4 linked regions of the Elephas maximus indicus genome follow. The protein of the gene in region 2 interacts with the protein of the main gene of each other region in a pairwise test. Links are inferred from orthologs where the notes say so. Each region holds a gene or a part of one and is shown on either strand. Other genes may lie near its edges. The genes, in order: dual specificity protein phosphatase 13, CALCOCO1, CEP19 and CWF19L2.

The links.
Region 1: the proteins of CALCOCO1 (region 2) and dual specificity protein phosphatase 13 interact in binary tests that used the Homo sapiens proteins (3 or more experiments, as listed by UniProt). The two-hybrid records come from large-scale screens. The link is inferred for Elephas maximus indicus from reciprocal best matches to the Homo sapiens genes CALCOCO1 and DUSP13B.
Region 3: the proteins of CALCOCO1 (region 2) and CEP19 interact in binary tests that used the Homo sapiens proteins (3 or more experiments, as listed by UniProt). The two-hybrid records come from large-scale screens. The link is inferred for Elephas maximus indicus from reciprocal best matches to the Homo sapiens genes CALCOCO1 and CEP19.
Region 4: the proteins of CALCOCO1 (region 2) and CWF19L2 interact in binary tests that used the Homo sapiens proteins (3 or more experiments, as listed by UniProt). The two-hybrid records come from large-scale screens. The link is inferred for Elephas maximus indicus from reciprocal best matches to the Homo sapiens genes CALCOCO1 and CWF19L2.

Annotation. Positions count from the first base shown.
Region 1 is NC_064834.1:12,424,472-12,431,838, reverse strand, and holds the start of dual specificity protein phosphatase 13, read right to left. Parts: upstream 3,067-7,367; 5' UTR 3,011-3,066; intron 1,893-3,010; 5' UTR 1,798-1,892; intron 1-1,797. Other genes in the region: dual specificity protein phosphatase 13, read right to left, coding at 6,351-6,550. UniProt on the Homo sapiens protein: Dual specificity phosphatase that dephosphorylates MAPK8/JNK and MAPK14/p38, but not MAPK1/ERK2, in vitro. Exhibits intrinsic phosphatase activity towards both phospho-seryl/threonyl and -tyrosyl residues, with similar specific activities in vitro.
Region 2 is NC_064822.1:109,207,169-109,215,283, forward strand, and holds the start of CALCOCO1 (calcium-binding and coiled-coil domain-containing protein 1), read right to left. Parts: upstream 3,124-8,115; 5' UTR 3,041-3,123; intron 268-3,040; 5' UTR 245-267; coding exon 89-244; intron 1-88. UniProt on the Homo sapiens protein: Functions as a coactivator for aryl hydrocarbon and nuclear receptors (NR). Recruited to promoters through its contact with the N-terminal basic helix-loop-helix-Per-Arnt-Sim (PAS) domain of transcription factors or coactivators, such as NCOA2.
Region 3 is NC_064819.1:18,245,312-18,252,442, reverse strand, and holds the start of CEP19 (centrosomal protein of 19 kDa), read left to right. Parts: upstream 1-4,020; 5' UTR 4,021-4,651; exon of another isoform or gene 4,652-5,948; intron 5,949-7,131. UniProt on the Homo sapiens protein: Required for ciliation. Recruits the RABL2B GTPase to the ciliary base to initiate ciliation.
Region 4 is NC_064825.1:12,385,666-12,392,875, reverse strand, and holds the start of CWF19L2 (CWF19-like protein 2), read right to left. Parts: upstream 3,132-7,210; 5' UTR 3,076-3,131; coding exon 2,983-3,075; intron 1-2,982.

The sequences.
Region 1 (7,367 bases), on a different chromosome or scaffold from region 2:
CGGTGGTTTCAACCCACCATCCGCTCTGGGAGAGAAAAGAACTGGTAATCTGTTCCTGTAAAGCCTAGGAAACCCTATGTGGCAGTTCTACTCTGTCATGTTGGGTTGCTATGAGTCGGAATCGACTCAGTGGCACACAGCAGAAACAACTTGCCAGGTCCCATCTAGAACCTCACTCCTGGTGCTCACGGTGTACCCCACTTGTCTGCTCTATCCCACTGGGGGCTCAGCCTGCATCGTGGGTGGAGTCGGGCCCAGGTGCCAGCCCAGTGACTCATCCTTGAGGCCCCAGGCACAGCCAGGGAAGGGGAGTTAGTGGCTGCAGTGGGCTTCCGTGGTTTCTGACACCCCCATACCTGGGCTGTGGAGGCCCTTCTTGACAGTTTCTCCCACATTTCCTTGGCAAAAGCTGAGGGTGAAGAACGGGCCCAGCATTCAGCACAGACAGGGCAGGCCAGGCTCTTCTCCCTACTTATCGAGCCCTGGGCTTCTTGCCTCCTTCCCACTTCTCTTCCCATAAGCTGAGCCACTGACTCTGTGGGCAGTGGCTTTCCTGCTTTTGTGTTGCTGCTGTTTACCAGCCCAGATACTTGTTTTCTGTTTTTGTCTGTATCTCTCCTCTCTTTTGCTCTCCCCATTTACCTGTCTCCCACCCCCTCACAGGAAGTTCATGCTCCTCCATGACCCCCCACACCCCCTGCATGCACAGTTGCAGGCCCGGGAGGTCAGCAGACTTGGTGGGATTCTCAGGTCTGTTACTGGTACCTGTGTGGTCTTCTCTGAGCCAGTGAGAAGCCTGTGAGATAATAAATGGAAAGCACCTGCCATAGGGTCTGCCTCTTGGGAGATGCGCAATAAACAGGGCACCTTACTGTTACTGTCATTATTGCCGTTACTGTTATTCCTTCAACCTCATCCATATCCTGGGCAGAGGGTAACTTCCCCAAGGTGCAGTGAGGCTCAGCCTCTTATCTCTTTTTATCCCTTGACATTTCATTCTCTGCCCAGCAATAATTATTATTATACCTACCACCCTGGTGGTGTAGTGGTTAAGAACTAGGCTGCTAACCAAAAGGTTAGCAGTTCAAATCCACCAGGCGCTCCTTGGAAACCATATGGGGCAGCTCTACTCTGTTCTATAGGGTCGCTATGAGTCAGAATCGACTTGACAGCAATGGTTTTTTTGTTTGTTTGTTTGTTTGTTTTACCACTTATTAAGAATGTACTGTGTACCAGACACAGAGCTTGGTGCTTACCTTTTCTCATTAAATCCTCACAGTGCCCTTATGGTATAGGTGATGTTGTTGTTGTTGGGTGCCGTCAAGTCGGTTTTCACTCACCTGTGGGGGTATCATAGTGACCCAATGTGATAGAGTAGAACTGTCCCATAGGGTTTCCTAGGATGTAATCTTTTGGAAACAGATCACCAGTTCTTTCTCCCACAGAACCGCGAGGTGGGTTCAAACTGCCCATCTTTTGATTAGCAGCCATGCACTTAACCATTGCACCACCAGGGCTCCTGTAAATGATATCATCATCCCCATTTTATAGATAAGGAAACTGAGGCTCAGAGAGGTTAAGCAACCTACCCAAGGTCACGTAGTCAAAACACATGGAGGTAGGATTCAAACCCAGGTCTTTCTGACTCTACTATACTTTGTCTCTGCCTTTATCTCTGACCCAGTCGGCCTCCCATTCTTCTCCACTCACACCCTACCCCCGACACAGGCATGAATGTCCTGACCCTCGTTACCCAGCATGCTCGGTGGCCCCCCTGAAATAGAGGCATCCACCCACCTGCAGTGGTATCTGACCCAGGCCGTGGTCTTCTCTGACGGGCAGTTTGTGCTGCTGGTTTCCAGCCGCCTGTCTCTGCACACTTGCTGCTGTTTCTATTTTTTGATTTGAGTTTAATTATAAAGCATGATGTGCTGCTCCCCCTGCTGACCTCCCCCTGCCACTCCCAACTCGCCCACTAGTCCCATGGCATGGTCAGTGCCAAGCCCAGCCAAGCACCTTCCCCTCCAGGCCCTGCGGGGAGTACAGGCAGCATGGCAGGGGTCTGCTGGTGGCATGTGTGCCCGTTTATAGGGAGGCAGGGAGAAGGAAGCACAAATAAACCATTTTGAAAGCTCCTTTGGCCTTTGAGAGTGATGTAGAGCAGCGTCAGAAAGTTAAAGCTGGAGGGGTCTTCCATGCAGGAGGACACTGTGGCCAGACATGGGAAGAGACTAGCCAAATCCCACAGCAAGTTGGTGGCACTGTTAACATGAGAACCCCAGTCCAGGGACCCTTAGATGGGGACTCAGGATTATGGGATTGGCCCAGGCTTAAGAACTAGAAGACTCAGGCTAAGGGAAGCAGCACAGGCAGACAAACAGACAAAGGTTCAAGTGGGGTACAGAGCGGGCCTTTAAACCCTGGGCCCAGCCCCAGCCTGCAATAAGAAGTTGTGTGTCCAGGAACCAGTTGCACCTGCCTCCTTCCCACAAAAGGCAGGATGGGGTATCCCTGGCCCAGGCCTCACTGTCCCTTGAAGCCAGCGAATTGGTCTCTAAAGTCCCTCCCAAGGCTAACTGAGGTCAGTTAGGGACCTTGGATTAGGGCCTATTAAAGCCCTCCGTGACCACCCGGAGACCCTCCTCACACAACCCATACCTTAGCACTTCTCCTCACTTTCAGTCCCAGATAATGGACGCACAAAGAGACACACCCACAACCACACCTATACTGGAGTCTCTGGAGTCTGATCAACTCCAGTGAGCTAGGACCCAGCCCCCACTGGGGTCCATGAGCCCTGGGGAGAGCTGGGGGGAGGCAGCTTGTGGCCAGGGGCTATCATGGACACTTAGAATCCCCTCCGTGTCTCTTCCCCTGCTCTCTAGGGAACCTGGGGTCCCTGGCCACAGAACCTCAGGGTTTGGGGAGTGAACACAGTGGCCAAGAGGGGTGGGGGCAACAGGAAGACAGAGTAGCAGGCTCTAGGGTCGGCTCCACACCAGGCTCTTACCGTCTTCCAGGTATCCACCTGTCCCAGGGGCTCCAGAAGCACCAGCAGGGCCAGAGCCAGGGTGGCAAAGTGGCAGAGCCCCGTGGCAGAGAGTAATGACTGGCTCTGGGGTGCAGATGAGCTTCGTATTGCAAGCAGGTAAACCAAGGAAGGCCCAGGCTGGCTGGGACACATCAGGGTACAGGCAGGAGCCACTTGTGTAAGATCAAGTGGGTGCAGGTGCTGGGGAGCAATGAGGAGGTAGGTTGGGGACCCAGGTTCATGGAAATAGATGACTTTTCCCACAGCACCACCATCTCAGAGTCCCCAGCCCCAGGGGACTGTGCACTGCACAACTCCTAGGGTCTCCAGTCGCATATACCATTCGGTGAATGGCAGCCCCAGGAATTGTGCAATGTTGCAGCCCTGCCCAACAGGCTTCCTTGAAGTCAGGTGCCTCATAGGCAAAGATACTGAGGTCAGATACCAGGGTGTCTAGGGATCCCAGCCTGATGAAGTAGGGTGATTGGGCATGTCCAGAGATCTGTTGCTCTGCCAGGTTCCTGAAACCTGTCTAGAGGAGAGAGAGAAGGCTAGGAACATACCACTCCTGTCCTCCTCTGGACCCAATACCTGCAGAGCTCTCCACAAATGTTTCCCACCCAGCTTAGTCCCAGACCTAATCCCAAACCCAGCTATAACCCATTTTTCTCCCATCACACTCACTGTTAAACTCTAAACGTAGTCCCCACATCCGGCCCTAACCCCCATCCCAAGATGCTCATCCTCAGACAGCATGTGGGAAGGAGTCAATATTGTTAAAGTTCCTCCCCTTTGCTTGGGCTAGTTGTGTGTTCAGAGACAAAAACAGCTCCTATGGAGGGTGTGAGAGGTGGGGACTCTTCCACGGGAGACCCTTGGGGCAAGAAAAGAAGCTCATCCAGCTCCCAGGGGAGCCTAGGCTGGTCCTGGTTTGTCCCATCCAGAGGGGCCCATCCAGTCACCCGTCCCCAGTTGGCAGCCACTCTGAGCCAGTGGGTGGTGCACAGCCAAAGATGGGGTTGAGGACACTGAGGCAAAGATCAGGATGGATGGCAGGAGTTGGAGGTGGGGTGGGGGAAGCAGAGAGCAGTCTGGAGGCTTCACTTCCAGCTGATAGCCCTCAGGTAGGATGTGGCTGTGGGGAAGGCCATGCTGTTGGGGCAGACAAAGACAGACTGAATCCGGGAGAAAGGCGTGCTTTGCAGCTTTCCTCACAAGCCTGGAACACCCCCAGCCACCCCACCCCTAGAAGAGACATCTCTCCCTTCTCCCGAATGTGCTAGAGAAAAACAGAAGGCTGACATAAAAGAAATGGAACCAGCACCTTGGCGACCACTTGTGGGCTGGTAACCTTTCAGTGGAGCTTCCAGACTAAGATAGACTAGAAAGAAAGGCCTGGTGATCTACTTCCAAAAATCAGCCAATGACATCTGAGGTCTTAAACGTTAGCAAGAGGCCGTCTAAGATGCATCAGTTGGTCCCAACCCATCTGGAGCAAAGGAGAATGAAGACCACCAAAGACGCAAGGTACTTATGAGCCCAAGAGACAGAAAGGGCCACATAAACCAGAGACCACATCAGCCTGAGACCAGAAGAACTAGATGGTGCCCAGCTACAACTGATGACTGCCCTGCCAGTGAACACAACAGAGAACCCCTGAGGGGGCAGCAGAGCAGTGGGATGCAGACCCCAAATTCTCATAAAAAGACCAAACTTAATGGTCTGACTGAGACTAGAAGGACTCTGGAGGTCATGGTCCCCAGACCTTCTGTTAGCCCAAGACAGGAACCACTCCCAAAGCCAATTCTTCAGATAGGGATTGGACTGGACTATAGTATAGAAAATGATACTGGTGAGGAGTGAGCTTCTTGGATCAAGTAGACACATGAGACTATGTGGGCAGCTCCTGTCTAGAGGGAAGATGAGATGGCAGAGGGGGTCAGAAGCTGGCCGAATGGACACAAAAATAGAAGGTGGAGAGGAATGTGCCGTCTCATTAGGGGAGAACAACTAGGAGTATGTAGCAAGGTGTATATAAATTTTTGTATGAGAGACTGACTTGATTTGTAAACTTCCACTTAAAGCACAATAAAAATTAAAAAAAAAAAAAACAGCATGATCAGAACACTAAAAAAAAAAAAAACACAGCCAACGAAGACCTATGGATCACAACGGTCTGATCCCATTGTACGTGGGGTCGCCATGAGTTGGGGGCCTACTTGACGGAAACTAGCAACAATCACAAGTCTGAGAAACCCACCATCTTCTACTTAGGACACTGAAGCCCACGGCTGGAGGGGTTGGGTTGGGAAGATGAGGTACTGGTGATCTGCTCCCTTTGTGCAACCTAAAGACCATGGGCTATTTCTCCAGCTGCCCTGAATACAGAACTAGAAAGCAGGGGGTGAATGGAGCAGAAAGGAGTCTGGGTAGGCTTCAGGAAGACCTTTATGTTCTAAAGAGGTGCCCAGAACCAGAGAGGGAGCAAGGGTAGACAGGGTCCTGTGTAGATCTCTGAGATCAGAAGAGTAATTGGGAGATGGGTAGGGTCTGGGTGCTGAAAACATGGTGGAGAACTGGGTGGTGCAAGTGCAGGAGAGATACAGGAGAACTCTGGCATCGAGCAGGGCTTTAGACATCATGGCTGGTGGCAGGAGCACATTCGGGAACCTGTCCTCCTTTCCCGTTGTGGGAATGGTGGAACAGGGCTGGGACGAGAATTCGCTAAGTGTAGAACTATAGCTGCAGCCAAATTTTCTTCCTGAGGCTGTAGCTGGGTCTAGAACTGAGGGGAGGGAGATGCAGAGGTTATAGGCTTGGCAGAGGTGCAGGAAGGTCCAGACAGCCACAGGTGCCAGGTCTGACCATGGCGAGGTTCAGGTGAGCTCCCACAGCCTTTCTGCTGAGGAGGCAGGACAAGCCAGCCTCACAAGCTCTTCCATTTTATACTTTCCACTCCCTTCCTTCTTAGCCTTTCCACTCTTTCTGAGGTCTGAGAACCTGGATAAGCTGCAGGAGAGGAAGGCCTACAGGAGTATTGCCTAAGCCAGGTCCTGGTGAGACCTTGGGTCAACGAGGGGATCCCAGTATCTTGGGGAGTGGGCCTGGTCTCTTTCAGCCTTCATTTCCAGCCACATACATCCCTCCTGCCAACCAACCACTGAACTGGTCCCATCCCATGTCCCCAGCCTTTACTTGACCCCTTACTTCTAACTGTAGCCTTGCCCCCTGCCCAGCCCCTCACCTGACTTCTCACTTTAATGGCACCCAGCCTTGCCCCCTTACCCCCCAACCTCCTGCCCAGCCCTCACCTGGCCCCTCAGTTCCGGCCTGCACCCCACAACTGCTGATCCAGCTGGCACAGCTGGTGGAGGAAGCCTCGGTTGGGGAAGACCCATCGGTGCTGCCGCACAGTGATCACCGCCTGGCGCAAGGACAACTTCTGGCGCAGCATGAGGTAGGCGAGGACCAGCGTGGCAGAGCGGCTCACACCCACCACACAGTGCACCAGGACCTTGGCTGAGGAAGACATCCTAGTGAAAGACCCTTCTCTACCAGGAGACCCTCCCAGGGCCTGGGATGGAGACCCAAGTTCCTTTCCCTTGTCTACCTTGGGCATACTCTGTGACCCTGTGGCCTTATGGGCCTGTTTCCTGATTTGTCAAATGGGTAGACTAACATCTGTTTTGGGATGAGGTCCAACTCACATGACTTACAAGACCCTCTAAGAGCTTCCCCTGCTGAGCCCACCTCTCATCTCAGGTGATCCCACCCTAACTCTCAGCTCTAGGAACACTGGGTAGTTTTCAGTTCCTTGAAGCTGTCATGGTCTCTGCCCTCCAGCTTTGGCACATGCTATTTCAACTACCTGAAAAAGTTTTCCCCTGCTCTTGGTCTGACTAAGTTCAAGTCATTCATCAGGTCTCAAATGAAACAATGTTGCCTCACATGGGCTTCCCTGACCACCTCAGGGTATTGCCTGAATCACAGAACAGCCCATGGCTTTTGCATGTGGTCCAGTGAGTACTGTTGTAGAGAAAGGTCCCCTACCTCTCTGATCCTTGGAGTGAGTTGAGTGCCCCACTCTTCACCTTTGCCTACGGTAGCACTCACGACACTTCACAATTTGGCTGTCTTTCCATCACACAGGTAACAGTTCCATGAGGCAGGGGCCCTACATTGCTTTCTTCTGGGTTCCCAGTATCTAGCTCAGAGCCTGGCACATGGCAGATACCCAGTAAATGGCTGGTGAGTGAACGGATGAATGTTAAACTGTTTGGGATGTTAAAAAGTGCTGTGTCATTCCCATCACATTGGTGAGGAAACTGAAGTCCAG
Region 2 (8,115 bases):
GGGGGTGGGAATCCAAGAATTTAGTTATTTTCCTTATTCCAACCAACTCATGGTTGTAAACCTGAGCCAAAAGGGGCTGCAGGGATACCTTGAAGATGCCAATCCAGTCGCTGGCACTGGGCATGGTGCCTGGGGGAAGGGTGTAGTGACATTCCACCTTGGTATTGGGGATATAGGTCCGGGCTACATTCAGAAAGTTGACTCCACCCCGGGATGGTGCCCGGCTTAGTGATGATTCCTCCATATGCCCTCGGGATATCTGCCTTCCTGTGAAGGAAAGGATTAACATCTGTTAGGAATGGAATTGTGTACCCCCCAAAAAAGTTATGCTGAAGTCCTAACCTCTGTACCTGTAAATATGACCTTGCTTGGAAATAGTTTTCTTGTGTTATGTTAATAAGGTCAAACCAAAGTAGGGTGGGTCCTAAACCTAACCACTTCTGAACAGTGTCTTATAAGAACAGCAAAATAAACACAGAGATACACACACACAGGGGCAAGACGGATGCCATGTGATGATCCTCTACAAGCAAAGGAACACCAAGGATTGTCAGCAGTCACCATAAACTAGGAGAGGCTGTAGAAGGCATGGACATAGCTGAGACTCTGATTTGGGCTTTTAGCCTCTAGAACTAGAGAAAATTAATTTCTGTTCTTTTTAAAGCCTCCTACTTATGGTATGTTTTGTTATGGTAGCATTAGGTAACTAAGACAATTCCAAAGTCTTTCTATTCTGTTTCCCTCCACATCCCTATCACCCACACATACACCAGCCCCTGCCACTATACCTGGAGATGAAGGCATATCTGGTTTCTAGCCCCTTAGGGTTACTCTTAGTCCTAGGACATAAGTCTGGACTTCCAAGTCACTCCCAACCCTGTCTCACACTGTACCCTCTCTGGTTCACAGACCTGTCCCAGAATTCAGATCCTTCCAATTTCTGCTCCCTTTTCACTGCCCAACTGACCATGTCTCATTATCCCAGGCTCTATCCTCCTCAGTCTCTCCTTTTCTCCCTCTTACCCTCCTTGAGCCTTCTGGATTCTTCAGCCTCCATCTCCCCATCCATCCCCCACATCTTTTAGCTCTTGAATTCAAAACTCAACTGAGATGTAGGGCCCCCTCATTCTGAGCAGGTCTCTTGAGGTTGTTGATTCAGCTATACATGGGAATGAGTCATGACATCTGAAAACACTAACATCTGAAAGGAATGATTGAGTCTTCAGAGCTGAAATATGGCCTGAGGGGACCAACATCCCAACTTCAGGCTCCTGAGCTCTCAGTCCTCTCCCCCAATCTGAGCTGTCCACCCCCAGAAATTTTAGGGAAGTAAAGCCCTGCTTTCACCCAAGAGTCAAAGGGACTCAGTGGATATAAGGAAAGACAGGTTCTATCACTCAACTTCATCATTACAGGAAGTCAGAATTCTGGAGGCGGCTGCTTCAAGGGTGGAGTGAAACACTTGGCAGGAACTTGGTGGTGTGGGGGAGATGGAATGTGGGGGCTGGGAGACAGGAAAGTCCCACCCACTGGGTAGCAGACAGATTGGAAGGTGGGAAGCAAGGGGCCCTGGGAAGCAAGGGGCCCTGGGAAGCAAGGTGGGAAGCAAGGGGGTAATATATATTTAATGTTGAGGGAAGGGAGAGAGAGTTCAAAAAGGACCTAACATTCTTCTCTCCAGATCTTGCAGGGCAAGAAACCTACTGGTTTGACTTGCTGTTAGCTCTAGTATTTTCCTCCAGTTCCCCTTGGTATCAATTTTAAGTGCCTGAATTCTTCCATCTGCTTGCATTGGTAGTTGCAGATATGCTATAGGATGAGACTGGGAGGAAGGGGTGTTCCAAGTAAGCTGGGAAGAATTAATTGGAAAATTTGGGGGTGGGGTGAGGACAGATAACAATAATAACAATCAAGAGAACTCCTCAGCCCAGGGCAGTGAGACGGCCCTCTTCCTTGTCCCTCCCCTCTGGCTCCCGAAGCTGCATCCTCGGCCAGCCTCGGCTGACAGTATCCAATCAGCCATCGCCACTAGTCATGTGCACACCTCCAAACATCACAAACCCACACCAAGCCGAAGACAGGGACTTTAAAAGAAAACTGAAACTCAGAAAACAGGTGGGCCAGCTCTACAAAAAGGAGTGATGTCTCTCTCCAAATTAGAGATAGAAGTAACAAGGGGTTCCTTTGGATTTACATATCTGAAAAATCCCTAATGAAAACTAGTCCATGTTTTCCTCAGATACAATTCTTCTGGCTTTCTAAGGAGTAAATAAGTTGTCCTCAAAGATCTAAGCCTGAGAAGCTGGTGAAATGGACACGAAAAGAGAGAGTGGAGGGAGGAAGCAGTCTGTCTCATTAGGGGGAGAGCAATTGGGAGTATGTAGCAAGGTGTATATGGGTTTTTGTGTGAGAGACTGACTTGATTTGTAAACTTCCACTTAAAGCACAAAAAAAAAAAAAAAAGATCTAAGCCTGGGTAACCCCTAATACTCCCCACAAACAAAATCTGTAACAGCTGGAAACACTCCCAAGGCCTGAAAAAAAGCTTGGACACCCAAGGTGCATGTGTGCAGCCAGGTTTAAATGTTCATATGGGGGTTCCTTTCTCCCACTGTCTAGGGCTCTAGAGTTCCTTGACATTCTACAGCTTGGAAGGTCCTCCCCACCCAAGGATTCAGCGTAGTGAAGGCCTTTGGATTTGGGGAGGGGGAGGGGAACACGTGTAAAGGGAGGTTTGTGGGGATCAAGTGTTGCCTGGGAGACAATAAGCAAAGGTTCTAGCCCCTCAACTCTCCTAGGCGTATCAAGCTTTATGGAAAAGGGCTGACAAGAAGGTGAGGACAGCGAGAGGACACCCACCTTGCTCAGGGCTCCCCTGAAACCAAGAACTCCCAAAACAGTGGGGGTGGCCTTTCCAGTGGGGAAAGTGTTAAAATCCAAACGTACCCGAATCCTTCTTCTACAGTTCCCTACCCTCTCACAGATTGGAAAGTGGGGTGACCCCCCCCGGACCGCCCCTAAATTAGGCCAAGTTTCTTACCCTACAGACGGATCAGCTGTTCCCGTCACCCTTCACCAACAACAAAAACAGCACTCCGACTCCGTCAGGGGAGGGAGAAGAATGGGCCCGAGGACTTCTGGGTTTTGTGGTTCTTCTGCGCCCTTATGCGGCAGAGCAGGTTTGGATCTAGGACTACACTACCCAAAAGGCGGCGAGAAAGGGGGGCGGAGAAGAGGGCAGCCGTGGCTGCGGCCTCACCACAGCTTCCTGGGAGGCGTAGTTCTCACTTCCATGACTGTAAACGGGGGTGTGGCTATCGGAGGACTTCACATCCCATGATTCCTCAGGAGGGGGGCAGGCTGCGTTAGTGGTAGTTGTTTGCAACGTGCATTTTTGGGGGTGGGGAGGATTTACGGCTCTAACGCCTTCCGAATAACGCTTCACAGTTTTCAGAACGCTACGGATACGCTCTCTTATTTTTCACAACAACCCTGTGAGATAGGTATTATTGTTATCCATACATTACAGATTAGGAAACTAAAGCTCAGAACGGTTAAGCTATGAAATGGCAGAACTCCACCAGGATTGCCTGACTCCAAGTTCAGTGCTCTTGCCACTACCCCAGAATGACCCCCCATTTAGGAGATGGAAAGCTAATAGCTGTGACCTTGTAAAAACTATGTGTTCCACACCGCTGACCATTGTTTTCCAGTTGAAGAATGTTAGTGCCAGGGGCCTGTCAATACTGACGGACCTGAACTGAGTTGCCCTAGAGTGGCCTCTGGGATGCATTGCCTGAGGTGGTGGTGGGGAGGGCAGTGGGGTGAGGGAATGAAGTTGAAGAGGGAGCCTGGCATAATGGAGGACTTGTCATAGCTCACAAACAAGCCACTTACGGGGGCCCGCTTGCCCAGGCTTTTTAACTGGCTTTAATTAATTAGGCTAACAATACATGTTGTTGCTCCAGTATTATTTAGCAGAGGTGAAAAAGATTCACACTCTTCCCAACCCCCAAGCCAGGATTTGGGCATCCTTCCCTGCCCCTCTAGATAGTCTGAGGCATTCAAAATTAATCCCTCTCGCTGTCCTTGTATTAAGGGATGACAGTCTAAGGATTTATTTGCTCTTCCTAGGTGCCTGCCTTTAATTTTCTGCTGCACTAAGTTATGGAGACTTCTGCCTTTCCCAAGTTTTTTGGGTGGTATTTTGCTTTTATGACTGTGAATGGGGTGTCTGGTGCCTGCCCTTGGGTACGTTTTGTCTGAAGATTTCCAAGCACTTAATAAGTCACTGGGCTGCACAAACATTAAGGTGACCTGTCTGTGTCATTAGTCAGGATTTATGAGTTAGGGAACAAGCTACTGGATGAGGAGGCAGCTCAAGGTCCTGGAGTGGGTTAAGAGCAGTCCCACCCAAGTCTCAGGTGTTTTTGATTTTTTACTTCTATGCAGAATAAAGGCACGTAAGAAAACTTAGTTTCATCTGGAGCTAAAAATAATCATTTTCTTACATTGAGTGCTTCAAATGTGTTAAACCACGCTAAAAGCTTTTTATATTTAATACAACAGCCGTATTATTACAACAGCTGCTAACCAGAAGGTCAGTGGTTCAAACCCACCAGCTGCTCCAGGGGGAAAGATGTGGTATTCTGCTTCTGTAAAGATTATAGCCTTGGAAACCCTCTGTCCTAGAGGGTCACTGTGAATTGGAATTGACTCGATAGCAATGGATTTGGTTTGATTTTTGTTGTTGTTGTTATTATCGCCATTTTACATATGATGAAATTGAGGCACAGACAATTAAGTGACTTGCATATGGCCATCCAACTAGTAAGGATTCAAACACAAGTAGCCAGTACATCATACTCCCACCCCAGCAACTCCTGGCATGTGATACTAACTTCCATTGCTCTAAGGAAGAGTGTTGTTAATCAGGCTATAAATGTTCACTGAGCATTTGTGAGCAAGGCATAAGACGATCTGAGATTCAGTCAATAAATATGTATTAGGTAATGTATTAGATACTACGCTCAAAACCAAAAAACCCAGTGCCATCACGTCGATTCTGACTCATAGTGACCCTATAGGACAGAGTAGAACTGCCCCATAGAGTTTCCAAGGAGCACCTGGCAGATTCGAACTGCTGACCCTTTGGTTAGCAGCCGTAGCACTTAACCACTACGCCACCGGGGTTTCCGGTACTATGCTAGGTATTCAATAAATTTTGTTGAAAGAATGAATATAAAATATGGATATTTGAAGGATGGATTATATTTGGACGATTTGGCAGGTCAGGGACTGGGAAGGATAAACTTATTCCAGGGTGAAGCAAAGATTAAAAGGTGTAAATGTGTAATTGATGCTGGGAGTCACATAAGAACAGCAAATCAAATTCAACTTTTTTTTTTTTTTGCAAACTCAGATTGAGTTGTATCTCCCCCCAGTTATGTGTATGAATTTGGCTAGGCCACGATTCCCAGTATTGAGTGATTGTCCACCATTTTGCCATCTCTATGATTTTTTTTTTTTATGATGTTAAGTCTGGGTTATGATGTTAATGAGGTGGGATTAGTGGCAGTTATGTTAATGAGGCAGGAGTCGATCTACCGGATTAGATTGTGTCTTAAACCAATCTCTTTTGTGATATAAAAGAAAGAAGTGAGCAGAGAGATTTGGGGACCTCATACCACCAACAAAGCAGCGCCGGGAGCAGAGCATGTCCTTTAGTCCCAGGGTTCCTGCGCAGAGAAGCTCCTAGACCAAGGCGAGATTGATGACCAGGACCTTCCTCCAGAGCCTACAGAAGAGAGAAAGCCTTCCTCTGGAGCTGATAGCCTGAATTCAGACTTCTAGCCTACTAGACTGTGAGAGAATAAATTTCTGTTTGTTAAAGCTATCCACTTATAGTATTTCTGTTATAACAGCACTAGGTAACTAAGATCCAGTAGACTAATTTATTGTTTGAAATTATTTACTCTCTCCTTCCCTGCCCATTTTCATGTGACTTGCAGTATCTTCTATAGAAGGAGTAAACCAAAACCAGACCTGTCACCATCAAGTCAATTCCTTTAGGACAAAGTAGAATTGCCCCATAGGGTTTCCAAGGAGCTGCTGGTAGATTCGAACTGCCGACCTTTTGGTTAGCAGCCAAGCTCTTAAGCCACTACGCCACCATGGCTCTGTAGAAGGAGTACATGTCCCATTTCATTGACTTTGGGCTTGGTCATATTTCATGTTTTAGCCAACGGAATGTGAGTAGATGTGACTCATGCCATGTTTGAGCTTGTGAGTTTCCCCTTTCTTATTCATCCTCTCTGCCACTAGAATGGGCATGTTTCACACGGGGCTTGCTCCTTCTTCTTGGAATGAGAAGATTCATGGAACAGAGCTGCAACCTACCCACAGCCTACATATACAGAAACCTTTGTTGTTGTAAACCACGGAGATTTTGGGGTTGGTTGCTACTGCAGCAAAGCTGATTAATATACCATGGATGAGTCATACCTGGATAATGGAAGACAAAAGTTTGAAACATAAGCTTATAACCAAGGGTGGAGAATCTCGAATGCCAGATGAGGTAGAGCCTGCTATGTCTTTATCAGAACCTGTTTCCTTCTTTTTCATGGACACACAGCTGGACCATGCTTTTCAGTTTCTCTTCAAGTGATGTGGTACAACTTCCAGGCCTTGCCCATGAAATCTCCCTTATGTTCTTTCCTTTCTGGCCTAATGCAGATAACCTTGAAAGCCACATGCTAAAGGTAATGGAGCCAAAAGATGGAAGGAACCTGGTTCCATGAATCACCTATTGGCAGAGAGCTACCTGCTCATCAGGAACGTGCGTTTTGGACTCCACTTGACCAATAAATACGTTTCTATTTTGTCATGCCACTAAAAACATAATTGGGTAGAAGGGTGGTTTATCTTTTACAGTAGCTAGTGCTTTCCTGGTGGCAGTGGTTAAGCACTTGGCTGCTAATTGAAGGATCAGCAGTTTGAACCTACCAGCCACTCTGTGGGTGAAAGATGTAGCAGTCTGCTTCATAAAGCTATAGCCTAGGAAACCCTATGGGGCAGTTCTACTCTGTCCTGTAGGGTTGCTATGAGTCAGAATTGACTCGATGGCAATGGGAATGGGTAGTGCTTTCCTAACCAATATTGTCAGGTGCTGTCGAGTCGCTTCCCGACTCTTAGTGACACAAAGTACAACAGAACAAAAAACACTGTCCAGTCCTGTGCCATCCTCTCAATCATTGCTATGCTTGAACCCATCGTTGCAGCCACTGTGTCAGCCCATCTCGTAGAGGGTCTTCCTCTTTTTCTCTGACCCTCTACTTCACCAAGCATGATGTCCTTCCCCAGGGACTGGTCCCTCCTGATAACATGTCCAAAATACACGAGATGAAGTCTTTCCACTCTTGCTTCTAAAGAGCATTCTTGGGTTCTGAAGAATCCAAGACAAATTTGTATGTTCTTCTGGCAGTCCACAGTATATTCAGTATTCTTTGCCAACATCTTAATTCAAAGGAATCAATTCTTCTTCAGTCTTCATAATTAATTGTCCAGTTTTTGCATGCATATGAGGCAATTGAAAATACCACGGCTTCGGTCAGGTGCACTTTAGTCCTCAAAGTGACACATTCGCTTCTTAACACTTTAAAGAAGTCTTTTGCATCAGGTTTGCCCAATGTAGTACGTTGTTTGATTTCTTGACTGCTGCTTTCATGGGTGTTGATTGTGGATCCAAGTAAAATGAAATCTTTGACAGCTTCAGCATCTTCTGTGTTTATCATGATTTTGCTTGTTGGTCCAGTTATGAGGATTTTTGTTTTCCTTATATTGAGGTGCAATCCATAATGGAGGCTGTAGTCTTTTATCTTCATCGGTAAGTGCTTCAATCCCCTTTCTTTTTAGCAAGCAAGGTTGTATCATCTGCATATCACAGGTTGTTAATGAATCTTCCTGCAGTCCTGATGCTGTGTTCTTCTTCATATAGTCCAGCTTCTCGATTATTTGCTCAGCGTAGAGATTGAATAAGTATGGTGAAAGGATACACACGCCTTTCCTGATTTTATACCACGCAGTATCCCCTTGTTCTGTTCAAACAACTGCCTC
Region 3 (7,131 bases), on a different chromosome or scaffold from region 2:
TATTTTAACTTAAGTAAAAATCAATGGACAACTTACCTGTGGAAACCATCTTTCAAAACTTCGTGCCTCAAAATAATTTCAGAACAAGTGGTTCTTATGCCTAAGAGAACCAAAAGCAATTTTTAGAAAAGCTTTAAATAGCTACATCATTAATAAGCTTTATCACCCTGGAAAACCTAACCAGCCTAAAAACAAAACAAACAAAATTTTTAAAACTTAAGTAATTTACACTACACATAAATCTGCTTCCTGTAGAGTAAGAATATTGACTCAAGTTAGACTGCCTGGTTCAAATCCCAGCTTGTCACTTAATAGCTGCGTGACTTCGCGCAGGATATTTTCTCTCTCTTTTAAATATCATCAGGATTAATACATGTAGAAGCACTCAGAACAGGGCCTACGAAATAGTAAGTGCTCTGTATAGTGTTTGCTCTTAATATTACTATACTCAGGTGACCACGAGACACTGGAACAAATAGAATGACAAAAGAGCCAGGAAATCTGTTTTAATCCTAGCTCACACTGACAGTGTATCAGATACATACTGGCAACTTCTGTATTCTGCCACCCACAGCTATAAAACTGGGAAGACAGTATATTCACGCCTTGTGGGGATGTTGGGAAACCCTGGTGGTATAGTGGTTAAGGGCTATGGCTGTTAACCAAAAGGTCGGCAGTTCGAATCCAACGGGCACTCCTTGGTACCCTATGGGGCAGTTTTACTCCATCCCGTAGGGTCACCATGAGTCAGGTTTTTTGCAGGGGGGAATGTTAGGAGAGTTTAAAAAGGAAAAAAATCTGGAGGCACACAAAGCTTCAAATGGTTCCTACGTAAACCCAGAATAACCAGAAATCAGACATTAAAACTATTACTCCATGTCAGCATCATAAAACTAAAAATTCAGTTACTGTTGACCACCAACTCTGCCAGGCACCTTGCTATGGAACTGAATCCCATTTTCAAAAGCTGGGTGTGTGTGGGAAACACATTGAAACAAACACACAGAAAACTATATACTATTATCGTGTGCTGCTGAGTCCATTAGATGTATTCCAGTGCATGGGAAAAAAATGATGTAGAGATGAAAACATTTGAAAAACACAAGGGAAGGAAGGAAAAACAAATGCAAAACTAACATTTATCCGATAATATCTATATATCAGATCCTGTACTTGAGGTTTTCATATGCGTTTTCTTCTGCATTTTACAAAAAATCTAGCAAAATAAAAAAATAGGCAAGCAAAATGACTGCCATTTGTACACAGGAGAAATGCTGACTCTGGGTTAGAAACTGGCTCTGGGTCACTAAGTGATTGACTGGAAGCAAGATTTGACTGACTTTTAAAGCCTCTCTCCACTCTACCTACTTATTTAAAGGAGTCCTTATTTGCTTTTAACAAAAAAGAAAAAAAAAAAACATTGCCGCCAAGTTGATTCCAACTCATAGCAACCCTGTAGGACAGAGTAGATCTGCCCCGTAGGGTTTCCAAGGAGCACCTGGTAGATTCAAACTGCTGACCTTTTAGTTAGTAGCCATAGCTCTTAAGCGCTACGTCACCGGTTTTCCTATTTGCTTTTGAGAAGCATATAATCTTTACCTAAATAAACAACTTATCTATCTCTTGTACAAAACCAGACTTTTCTTCATCATGTTTAAGTTTAACAAAGATGACTTAGGGAGCAAGGGCTTATATCTACTTATAAATTAAATTAGAAAAACCAAGTCAGATTGATAGGCTTAGATTCTATTGGCATGTATACCACAGTAGTAAATCACATAACCATGAGATGGTGGGAAGACTAATTTACAAACAGTATAGCAAATACTGGAAACCCTGGTGGCATACTGGTTAAGAGCTACAGCTGCTAACCAAAAGGTCAGCAGTTCATATTTACCAGGCGCTCCTTGGGAACTCTACAGGGCAGTTCTACTCTGTCCTATAGGGTCATAATGAGTCAGAATCAACTCGATGGCAACGGGTTTTTATAGCAAATACTGTTTGTCATTATGATTATTATTATTACACTTTAGGTGAAGGTTTACAGAGCTAGTTTGCTCATTAAACAATGAGTACACATCTTGTTTTATGACATGGGTTAACAACCCCACAACATGTCAACACTCTCCCTTCTCAACCTTGGGTTCCCTATTACCAGCTTTCCTGTCCCCTCCTGCCTTCCAGTCCTTGCCCCTGGGCTGGTGTGCCCCTTTAATCTTTAGTTTTATGGGCCTGTCTAATCTTTGGCTGAAAGGTGAATCTCAGGAGTGACTTTATTAGTGAGCTAAAAGGGTGTCTGGGGTCCACACTTTCAGTTTTTCCAGTCTCTGTCAGGCCAGTAAGTCTGACCTTTTTTTGAGTTAGAATTTTGTTCTCTGTTTTTTTCCAGTTCTGTCCAGGACCCTCTATTGTGATCCCTGTCAGAGCAGTCAGTGTGGTAGCTGGGCAACATCTAGTTGTACTGGACTCAGTCTGATGGAGGCTGTGGTAGCTGTGGTCCATTAGTACTATTTGTCATTTTTAAGGCGAAAGTTCCATTTTCAAAATAAACTTGCACCTGAATTCATCTTCAAGGTTTTTCCTATTAAGTATTACTTTATTTGGTTGTGGTGGCCTGAAGTGGCTCTAAAAATTGTACCTTTTTTAGTCATAAGATGCCAGTGCTGGACGAGTCTTTAGAGATCACCAAGTCCAATTGTGTTAAATTTTTTTTTGTTTTTTTTTGGCTTCTTAAATCCTCTTCTCAAATAAATTTGGAAACCTAATATGTAAAACAGGAGGCCCTGGGTGGCCCAAGTGGTTAAGGGTTGGACTACTAACCAAAAGGTCAACAGTTCAAACTCACCCAGAAGGGCCTCAGAGGTAAGGCTTGGTTGGCCTTCTGCTTCCGAAAGGTCACACCCTGGAAAACCTTAAGGAGTAGTTGTCTTCTCAGCACATGGGGTCACCATGAGTGGGAATTACCCAACTGGCAGTGAACAACAATATGTAAAGTACACAAAATCAGAGCTGCGCTGATGGGCAGATGCTAGTCTGTGCTGACTTTCCTTCCCGTGTCAAACGCCGAGAAGCCCTGTGCTAACCGAAAAGTCAGCGGTTCCAATCCACCAGCCGCTATGTGGGAGAAAGATGTGGCAGTCTGCTTCCGTAAGGGCAGTTCTACTCTGTTCTATAGGGCTGCTAGGCGTCGGAATCCACTGACAGCAATGGGCTGCGTCAAACGTTATCACTTCATTGTGTCCGTCTCCCCCAGGACATTGCCGATGCACCAGGGTTGGGGCCATGTAGATCTAGCTCAAGACTGGATCCACAGCACTTAGCCCAACACTCCAGGCCAGGGACTCGGGCCCAAAGCAGTGATCAACTCCCTCGCCCAGCCCAGAGTCATAAAGAAAGCCTCGCCCAAGCCAGTCTACCATTAAAGATGCCTGAAATACAAAACTAGCCGGTTCCTCAGAATCTCTATGTTCTGGGTTGGGAGTCTCGCGCTGTGCAGCGCGCTGAGGCCTTACTGATTTTGGTGGTCGGGGTTGCACGCATTGCAAGAGGACCCCAAAATGCTTCATTCACGGCCGTGCTTCTGTATGACAGTCCCCGCCAGTCCCGCCCCGGAACAAGGCCCGGTTCTCCGAAGACCCAGCTGCCGGCCGACAGAGCAACGAGTACGGGCACAGCAAGGCACGTGACCTTTTTTCTTTTTACCTCCTCCAGCCCACCCTACAGTTGCGGGCTTCCAGGCCGAGAGCAGGGAAGCACCTTCGCAAACCGAGGGGCGGAGAGGGCTCCTCCCGGTCTGCGCCCCATCGCTCCGCCCTCAAACCCCGCCCACACGGCTGCAGGCCCCGCCCTCCCCTTACCGGCGTCGGAGACCGAGGCGGGCGTGCACGCCAACCCGGTCGCCGCCCAGAGGTGCAGCCAGGCCACCGCCCGGACAGCCACGGCACCTGCCGCCAGGATGCCCGAGGGCGGGCGCCGAGAGGGGCGCGCAGGGACGAAATGCGGACGGCGGAAGCACGCGTTTCACGCCCCTGCAGGCGCGCGATGCCACGGAGGTACTGGCCGGGACGGAGGCCTCAGGGGTCGCACCAGGCTGCAACCCCGAACCCCAGAAGTTCCGGCGCCGCGTGAGGCGGCAGGTCCGACCCCCTCATTTGCTCCCCTCGTCGCCCCGCCCTTCGCCGTCCGAGGCGGGGCGGGGCGACGAGCGGCGCAAGCGCAGTGACGTAGGCCCGGCTGTTGCTGTGGAAACCACTGAGCCCGCCCCCGGGCGGGCAGTCTGGAAGCCCCCTCGAGGTGCTCACGCCCTGCACCTCCGCTTCCAGGGATTTGCGCTGTCGGGCCTCCTGCCGCGGAGTTCACCCCACAGTCACGTCGGCGGGGCCGTGGCCTTCGCCTCTTCCTGCACCGCCAAGCCCCGCCCGGCCTCAGTGCCGGGTTAAGCAGGGGCTCCTCGGTGCGCTGCAGTCTGGGGGGCAGGAAGCCCCTCGTGGTTTTAGACGCTGGCCTGCAGGAGATGCACTTTGTGTACCTCTCTCGGGGTAAGGAAGTCAACCTTGTGCTAGTGGGGCCCATGGAGGAAGAACGTCCCAGAATGGTTAAAGGACCGTGCACCCACAGAGGGTCTCCATTGGCGGAATCCTTACACTTCCAGGTGCTGTGGGGGATGCTTCGCAGGATTACGGTAGTCATTGGTCTTTGCGGAGAAAAATATGTTAGGAAGAGTAAATATGTTGTCTTTCTTCTTGAATTGAATCTGTAAGCAGGCCTAGAAAGCATCCAATAAAAAGAATCCAGTCCAGATTGGAAAATACCAGAATAGGCATATTATGAAGAAATATGGTGATAAATTTTGGGAGAAACACCTAAAAGAATTGAAACTGGCTTACTATGGGGAGACGAAGGGCAAGGAGAGTAGTTTTTTGTTATAAGCCTCAGAATTATTTCACGTTTTAGACAAACTATAAGTATTACTTCCGTAAGAATAAAAATTAAAGAGTCTGTAGCAAAACAAAAAAAACCCTGCATTATTGAGTATCTATTGTATATACCATTTGTGAGTACAGCCATTTGCTTAAGTGTCTAGAGTTTATATTGTTTCTGCTAGAAAGTTCATTAACAAACCAAATCTTAGTGAGGGGAACTGGGAGTAGTATTTGTTTTTAAAAAAAAAAGGGGGGGGAGGGCATAGAGGTAGGTGGAATCATTGCATTAGATCAGAGCCCAAACCAAAAAACCAAACCGAGTGCCGTTGAGTCGATTCCAAGTCACAGTGACCCTATAGGACAGAGTAGAGCTGCCCCATAGACTTTCCAAGGAGTGCCTGGTGGATTCGAACTGCCGACCCTTTGGTTAGCAGCCATAGCAGTTAACCACTATGCCACCAGCGTTTCTGAAAGAGAGCCCAGTATTTTGAAAAAGCAAATTTACTAAGTGAAAATTCCCACGTCCTGTGGTACATTTGAGGAGCCCTGGTGGTGTGGTGGAAACCCTGGTGGCATAGTGGTTTTTTTTTTTTTTTTGGTTGGTGGTTCAGTGGTTAAGTGCTTGGCTGCTAACCGAAAACTCAGTGGTTTGAACCCACCAGCCCTCTGCTGGAGAAAGATGTGGCAGTCTGCTTCCATAAAGATTTACAGCCTTGGAAATCCTGTAAGGCAGTTCCAGTCTGTCCTGGAGGGTCGCTATGAGTCAAAATCCATTTGGGGGCAACAGGTCAGGTTTATGGTAAATTTATGGATTCCCTGGGTGGTGCAAATACTTAATGCACTCTGCTGCTAGCCAAAAGGTTAGAGGTTCGAGCCCACCCAGAGGCTTCTTGGAAGACGGGCCTGGCAATCTGCTTCCAAAAGATCGCAGCCTTGAAAACCCTATGGAGGAGCACAGTTGTTCTCTTCACACTTGGTGTCACTGTGAGTCTGAATCAACCTGATGGCAGCTGAGAACAACAACGTGTACGTATAATGTGTCGATTGTAGTTCATGTGGTTCAGAGGTGTTAACTGAAAGGTTGGAGGTTCGAGCCCACCCAGTGGCCATCTACTTCTGAAAAATCAGCCGTTGAAAACCCTGTGCAGCATGGTTCTATTCTGACATACGTGGGATCACCATGAGTTGGAACTGACTCCGTGGCAACTGGTACTGTTTTTTTAATGTATAAGACACAGGGAGCCCTGGTCTTACTGCGGTTAAGAGCTACAGCTGCTAACCAAAAGATTGGCAGTTTGAATCCACCAGCTGCTCCTTGGAAACCCTGTGGAGCAGTTCAGCTCTGTCCTGTGGGGTCACTATGAGTCGGGACTGACTCACTGGCACCTAACATCATGAAACACTTGCTTTTATTGCATCAAGTTGATTACAACTCACAGGAACCCTGTAGGACAGAATAGGAACTGCCTCGTAGGGCTTCCTAGGTTCTGGGAGCAGATCTCCAGGTCTTTTCTCCCGTGGAACTGCTGGTGGGTTCAAACGGCTGACTTTTCAGTTAGCAGTCGAGCACTTAAGCATTGCACCAGCAGGACTCCTTGGATAAAATATTACACAGTCATATAAAAAATTGCGTTTTAGTAAAATATTCAACGACAAGAAAATAATCACAGACTGTTAAATTTAAAAGGCAGGAGATAGTATATATATATTTTTTAAATATCATAGTTTAGAAAAATAAAATTGTATGTCTAAATAAAAGCCTAGAAGGAATTACGGCTGATTATTTTATGTCTCCTCTTCCCCTCCCCCCCAGCTTTCTACAATGGACTTAGGTGAATTAGGCGCATGTTATTTAAGTATTTTTTTTAATCAAGTTACTATAGTGATTCTCTAACAGAACTGAGTTAATTAAGATATAAACACCCTATGCCACTTCACCTTAAAGTTTCTTGACATTTACAGATCTTCCTGGGAATATCAGAGTTGCATCAAAAGCAGTCCCAGTAATGAAGTGTATTTTGGTGTTGAAGGTGGGGAAGGAAAGAGGGAATTGAAAGTATTAACCTGTAAAAGCTGTGCTGCTTCTGGGAACCGAAAAAGTAACCTATAGTGAGGCAAGTCAGCTGAAAGAAAAGCTGTGTGAACGTTATTGTCTCATATATGTAGAGGCCAGTTCCGAACCAGGTCTGCTTTTTTGATCAGGCTTATT
Region 4 (7,210 bases), on a different chromosome or scaffold from region 2:
CTACTAATCAGGAACCAACACATTATACCAGTGTTCTACAAGATCTAACTTCATAGTTTCAGCTCAAATCCATCAAAGTCATGTTTCTCTAGTCAGATGACCATGAGGCAGGTTGCTTAGACAACTCTCTACTACAATATTTTTTTTAATAATTTTTATTGTGCTTTAAGTGAAAGTTTACAAATCAAGTCAGTCTCTCACACAAAAACCCATATACACCTTGCTACACACTCCCAATTACTCTCTCCCTCCACACTCTCTTTTCGTGTCCATTTCATCACCTTCTAACCCCCTCCACCCTCTCATCTCCCCTCCAGGCAGGAGATGCCAACATAGTCTCAAGTGTCCACCTGATCCAAGAAGCTCACTCCTCACCAGCATCCCTCTCCAACCCATTGTCCAGTCCAATCCATGTCTGAAGAGCTGGCTTCGGGAATGGCTCCTGTCCTGGGCCAATAGAAGATCTGGGTGCCATGATCACCCGGGTCCTTCTAGTCTCAGTCTTTTTATGAGAATTTGGGGTCTGCATCCCACTGCTCTTCTGCTCCCTCAGAGGTTCTCTGTTGTGTTCCCTGTCAGGGCAGTCATTGGATGTAGCCAGGCACCATCTAGTTCTTCAGGTCTCAGGATGATGTAGTCTATGGTTCATGTGGCCCCTTCTGTCTCTTAGGCTCGTAATCGCCTTGTGTCCTTGGTGTTCTTCATTCTCCTTTGATCCAGGTGGGTTGAGACCAATGAATGCATCTTAGATGGCTGCTTGCCAGCATTTAAGACTCCAGACACCACTCTTCAAAGTGGGATGCAGAATGTTTTCTTAATAGATTTTATTATGCCAATTGACTTAGATGTCCCCTGAAACCATGGTCCCCAGACCCCTGCCCCTGCTTCGCTGGCCTTCGAAGCATTCAGTTTACTCAGGAAACTTCTTTGCTTTTGGTTTAGTCCCATTGTGCTGACCTCCCCTGTATTGTGTGCTGTCTCTCCCTTCACCTGAAGTAGTTCTCATCTACTATCTAGTGAATGCCCCTCTCCCACCCTCCTCCCTCCCTCCCCCCTCTCGTAACTTTTTACAAAAGAACGTTTTCTTCTCAGTTTAAACTATTTCTCAAGTTCTTATAATAGTGGTTTTCTACAATATTTGTCCTTTTGCAACTGACTAATTTCACTCAGCATAATGCCTTCCAGGTTCCTCCATGTTGTATGTCTCACAGATTCCTCACTGTTCTTTACCGATGCGTAGTATTCCATTGCGTGAACATACCATAATTGATTTATCCATTCATGTGTTGATGGGCACCTTGGTTGCTTCCATGTTTTTGCTATTGTAAACAGTGCTGCAATAAACATGGGTGTACATATATCTGTTCGCGTAAAGGCTCTTATTTCTCTAGGACATAGTCCAAGGAGTGGGATTGCTGGATCGTATAGCAGTTCTATTTCTAGCTTTATAAGGAAGCGCCAAATCGATTTCCAAATCAACTACAATATTAAGGGAAGCATAGTCATGTTTTGCCTTATTTCCAAGTTTTGGATATTTTTTTCTTCAAATATCAAAGAGTAAACTGGAAGTTTTCTTCCAGCATTTGGGAGTGAGGATCATTTTATTCCTCACAGCAAAAGTAAGAAAACTCAAATAAAAATGAAAATGAATTACAATAAAAATTTTTAAAACCACTTAAGGAACTAATATGAATGGTAATGTTGCAAACAAATATCAGTTCTCAAGGTAATTCTAGTCTGTATGCAAATAAATGAGTAAATAATATTCATAGCTCCTGTTCAACAATGTAATCTTTTACTAATAGTCTTTTATCTTTTCCTAATAGTCATATCAGAACTATGTTACCACTTATTTTTCCACAAATAAATCTTTCTCCCTTACCCCACGATAATATTGAACAAGCTTCAGCAAATTACAGAAAACACTTACATTTGAATAGCATTAAGTAAACTCTTTCACAAGAATAAATAAGAGCAAATAAGGCTGAGTTTGCAGATAAGGGTTACAGAAACAATGAGGATTTAAAAGCATGCTTACAAACCCTACTTCCCTCGAAAAACTGCTTGAAAATACCAGAATCAAGGTTGAAGAATACTTACTATACATACATAATACTTATACTAAAGTCAGGGAGCAATACAGACCTTGCGCTTGTCTAAGACTAACTGCCTACTCTCCCACTTTAAGATCTGGCTGTAGTCATTATACCCTCTCATTCCTGCATCCTCTACCTTTCCTTCTGTACTGGATCCTTTCATTTGCATTTAAACTCGTTTAAAATTCTCCCATCATAAAACAAACAAAACCGTGTACTTTCACTTGTACCCTACCTTGCTCTCCAGCTATTAACTTTTCCCATTTGTTACCAAACATCTTGAATAGCTTGTTAGACAATTTAATAGAGTTTACTTGCTCCATTCTTTGTATCTTACCTCTATGCATCTCAGTCTAAATGAGGAATACAAAGTTTCTCAATCTTTTTCCAGGGACTAAATTTTCTGGGTCTCCACTGTCAACCCTTGTTTGGATCAGTAAAGGCTTGCAATGAGCCTGAAACTGATACCAAAAGGAAGACACGAGAATAAAATGGTCAAACACATTCTTTACAACTGTTCTTCAAAATGAAAATTTTAGTTTCAGATACAACATGAGCAAGGACTAAGGCTGTAAGGCACTACGGCAGAGTCCCTACAAGTGCGCAGTCCAGGAGACAGAAAAGACGGGATGATTTAAAAGGCAAGGAAACTCAGAGGAAAAGGAACAACGCTCCCTGAATACAGGGAAAGAACAAAGGAGCCAGCCAGAGCGTTTGGAAGGCGGGGAACAGCCAAGAGCTTGGGGGTATCCTCAAAAGAGACCCCACCCAGAAAAGGTAAGGTACTTAAGTGTGTGCCGGGATGAGGGAAGCTGGAGTGCCTAGCTGTCGGGAACCCTCCACTCCCACAACTTAAAGGGTTTCAAAAGCTCCAAAATAGACGTACCTGGCGCAACACTTCGGCCCTAGCAATCCGGGTCTGTTCTTTACGCTCTTCGATACTCTTCGCACTTTCAAATCTACCACTAGCAGCCGCCATAGTTGTTGCCGTCGTAAAGTTAGGAAGCCATCACGAAATCCTAATTTACGACTGTCGTAAATTAATAGACAAACCAGAATCTCCAACGAGGGGAAGGAGAGGCGCTGTTTCACCTACGGAGCATGCGCTGCTGTGAGGTGCGTAAACGTCAGAATTACAAGTTCCACGTTTTAGAGACGTGAAGACTAAGTGAAGTGTTACCCTCTGTTCGTGTACTGGATTCGCCCTGAGCAGGTTTAGTGTCAATATACGTTTGTTACGCTCTGTGCACTATACTGACGGCTTTCTCGTGTTTCCTCGAAAATCACCACTAAGTCAGAAGTTCATAGAGGTTAAATTAAAAAAAAAAAAAAAAAGTTGCTGTCCAGTCGATTCCAAATAATACCGACCCTACAGGATAGAGTAGAACCGTCCCATAGGGTTTCCAGGGAGCACCTAATAGATTCGAACTGCAGACCATCTTACGTTAGCAGCCGTAGCTCTTAACCACTAGCCACCAGGGTCTCCAATTAAGTACCCTTCTCGCGATAGGAGATTTCGGGTGCTGGGGGGAATGAGAAGAAAGAAGGCTGGCGGGGAAAGCAGAAGCAGGCAGGAAGGGCGAAATTGGTTTGATTCGGTATTTTGCTTTGGTTAATTTTTTTTTTTTTTAATATATGAAATAGTGATGTGATTTTGCATTGTACTTCACCCGTGCTTACTTTAATTTTTAGAAGTTTTTCATATTGGTCCCATCTTAATTGTTCATCTCATCCATCCAGGCTTTTTTCATTGCAACGTGCCGTTACCTGTGCGTGTGTTTTGTTGTTTTATGTTTGTCTCTCCCAAACATAAAAAATTTAAGTTCCATTTTGAAATAAAATCAAGTGCTTTGACAATACAAAGCACTGAGCTTACATTTTAATCATATACAAAGAAATCTGTAAAATATAAGCTAAATATCTTAAAGACACAAAATAATTAACATAAGTGGGGTTGAGGTAAATATTCTTTCTTTTCAGGTTTCATAAAATTGCATTTGTTTGCAAGAAGCTTTCCCCAGAGTTTGTTTTACCATTTAGTGAAAATCTTAACCTTGAGCATGTGGTTTACTTGTTTGATATACAAAATAAAATTTACTCATTGTATTTTTGCTACAGAAGATTGAATTTTAATTTACTAATTGACCTTGTAATATTTAACCCACTGACCGTGACATACTAATGTTGTCATAATTCTTTCAACCAGCATTGAAGTCTTTTCAGATTTTCCTGGGATTAAGAAAAACATTCCTCTCTCCCCTGCATCAGTTATGGAGCAACTAAAAATAAATGGTGGTTATTGCAGAAACACGTGCAAAATTACATGAAGAAAACTTTATAGTCCTATTTATGCCACAAAAGAAGACTCGAACAAATGGAGAGGTATATTATGTGATTGATGAAAGAGACTATAAATATGATAAATCCTCCATAAATTAATTTGTAAACATAATGCAGTGCCAATAAAATTACCAACAAAAATTTTGGAGTTGGGGTAGGAAGCGACAAGATGATACAGGGGGTAGGGGGGCAGAAAGCAAGTTGTTTTGATTATGTTTGCATTTGGCCACACCTACTAGAAATCTAATCTTGTGATTTAATCAAATAAGGGGTAATGTAATAAGGAACCTAAAGGTGGTTGGTGAAGTTTTTATTCATATATGAAAGCATTTTTAAAATGGAAATCGAGAAATAAAGTTACTATACCAATGGGAATCCCTTTTTTAAATTCCAATACATTCTGCTCAGTTTTTTTCCTAAGTGACTACCAATTTATCATGAGCAGTATATGACAGAAGCTATTTCCTCAGCTCTCTGCTGATATTGTGTATTATCTCTAAGTTTTTGCCAAATGTATGTATCAAATTAAGATGCTATATTACCGTTATTTCACTTTGTATTTTCCTGATTACTTTTGAGGTTAAGAACCTTTCCGTATGCTTATTTCTCTACATATTTATTAATTGCCTCTTAGAGCTTATTTTAATAATCAGTTCTTTCATGAACGGGAAGTTTTTTTAATATATAAACTATGTGAAAAAGTGTCCTATATTTGTTAGGTTAGACTAGGCTGTCTTCAACCAGTACTCACCATGATAGGTATTCCTAGTAGTTGGTAATTCCTGCTGCATGAGGTGATTCAAGAGCCCAGGCTTCTTTCATCTGTGTCTCAGATATAACTTAGGGAATCTTTTTTGGCACTCAGACAATAGAAAGAGAAAAACCATTGGAGAGGCACACTCAACTTAAAACCCTTGAACCAGAAATGGAACACAGCTTTGTTTGTACAGCATTGCCAAGAATTAGTCACATGGCCACAACTAGATGCACAGGGCATAAGAAAAGATGTCCCTGGTTTTGCAGTCACTTCTCCATTAAAAATCTATACCATGGAAGGGGAGAAAAGATTTTTGTAGACAGCTAGTCATATCTGCACAAGATATGATTTTTTTACATATAAATATCCAAAAGCCCTAATATCATTTATTGATTTATTTCATTATTTCCACACTGATTATAAATGGTGCTTTAAAATCATACACTATATTCTCATGTATAACCAAACTCATTGCTGTCAAGTTGATTCTGACTCAGGGTTACCACGTGTGTTACAGAGTAGAATCGTAGTCATAGGGTTTTCTTGGCTGTAATCTTCACAGAAGCAGATTTTCAGGTCTTTCTTTTGTGGCACTGCTGTGTGGGTTCAGATCGCCAACCTTTAGGTTAGGAGTCAAGCACAAACCATTTGTGCCAGAGATCTACCTATTCCCATGTATCTATGGGACTGTTTCTAAAGTCTGTCCAGTTGATCACTATTCCTGCAGCCATTGCATCCTGTTTTAATTACTATAGTTTTTATAGTGTGTTTCTGATATCTGGTAGAATTATTCCATCATCATTCTTTATCGGGGTATTCTTGGCTGTTCTTGAACATTTACTCTCCCCTATGAACTTTAAAATCAGATTATCAAGATCACAAAAAAATCATTTAGATATTTTAATTGGTTTTATCTGTTGGGATTCTTTGGTTGTATGCAAGCAATTTGAATGGCATTTGACAAATTTAAGGAAATAGGGGAATTCACTAGAAGGATATATGCAAAACAAGTACCAGGACTGTAAATACTCAATAATCAGACAGCTGTCACTGAAATCACAGGCCACAGCAGCCACTCTGTACCAAAGACCAGTTAGGATCCACAAAAAAAAAAAAAAAAAAAAACCCCACTGCCGTTGAGTCAATTCCAGAGGGGACTAAAAGATCCTAGAACCCCACACAGCCAGGAGAAACCGTCAGCCACGCACTCTGCTGTGTCACCTTGGAATGGAACAGAATGAGAGACTGTACTTTCATCACAATAATCAACTTTTTTTAAATACCCACCTGAATATAATACTGACGTCTGTTGTGTGGTATAGGAATCGCAGTATAAATTGCACCACACTTTCACATTCATTTTATGTGCCATGTTAATTTTAGATATCATTCTGAAATGCTCTCAACTTTACCTTTTCTATTGCCCTGCTGGAAAAAAGCAGTCACACATTTGTTTAATAAGCTATTTATTTTACAACAGTTTTAGATTTACAGAATAATGGCAAAGATATTACAAGGAATTACCATATACCCTCACCCAGTTTCCCCTATTACTAACATCTTATGTTACCTATTGCCGTTGAGTAGATTCTGACTTACAGGGGCCCTATAGGACAGAGTAGAACTGCCCCATAGAATTTCCAAGGAGCACCTGGTAGATTCAAACTGCCGACCTTTACATCTTACATTAGAATGGTACATTTGGTACAATCAGTGAACTAACGTTGATATACTATTGTCTTAGTTATCTAGTGCTGCTATAACAAACACCACAAGTGGATGGTTTTAACAAAGAGAAATTTATTCTCTCACAGTTTAGGAGGCTAGAAGTCCAAATTCAGGGTGCCAGCTCCAGGGGAAGACTTTCTCTCTCTTTGAGCTCTGGGGGATGGTCCTTGTCATCAATCTTCCCCTGGTCTAGGAGCTTCTCCATGGAGCAGCCTTAGGTCCAAAGGACACACTCCGCTCCCAGCGCTGCTTTCTTGGTGATATGAGGTCCCCCCGTCTTTCTGCTCAC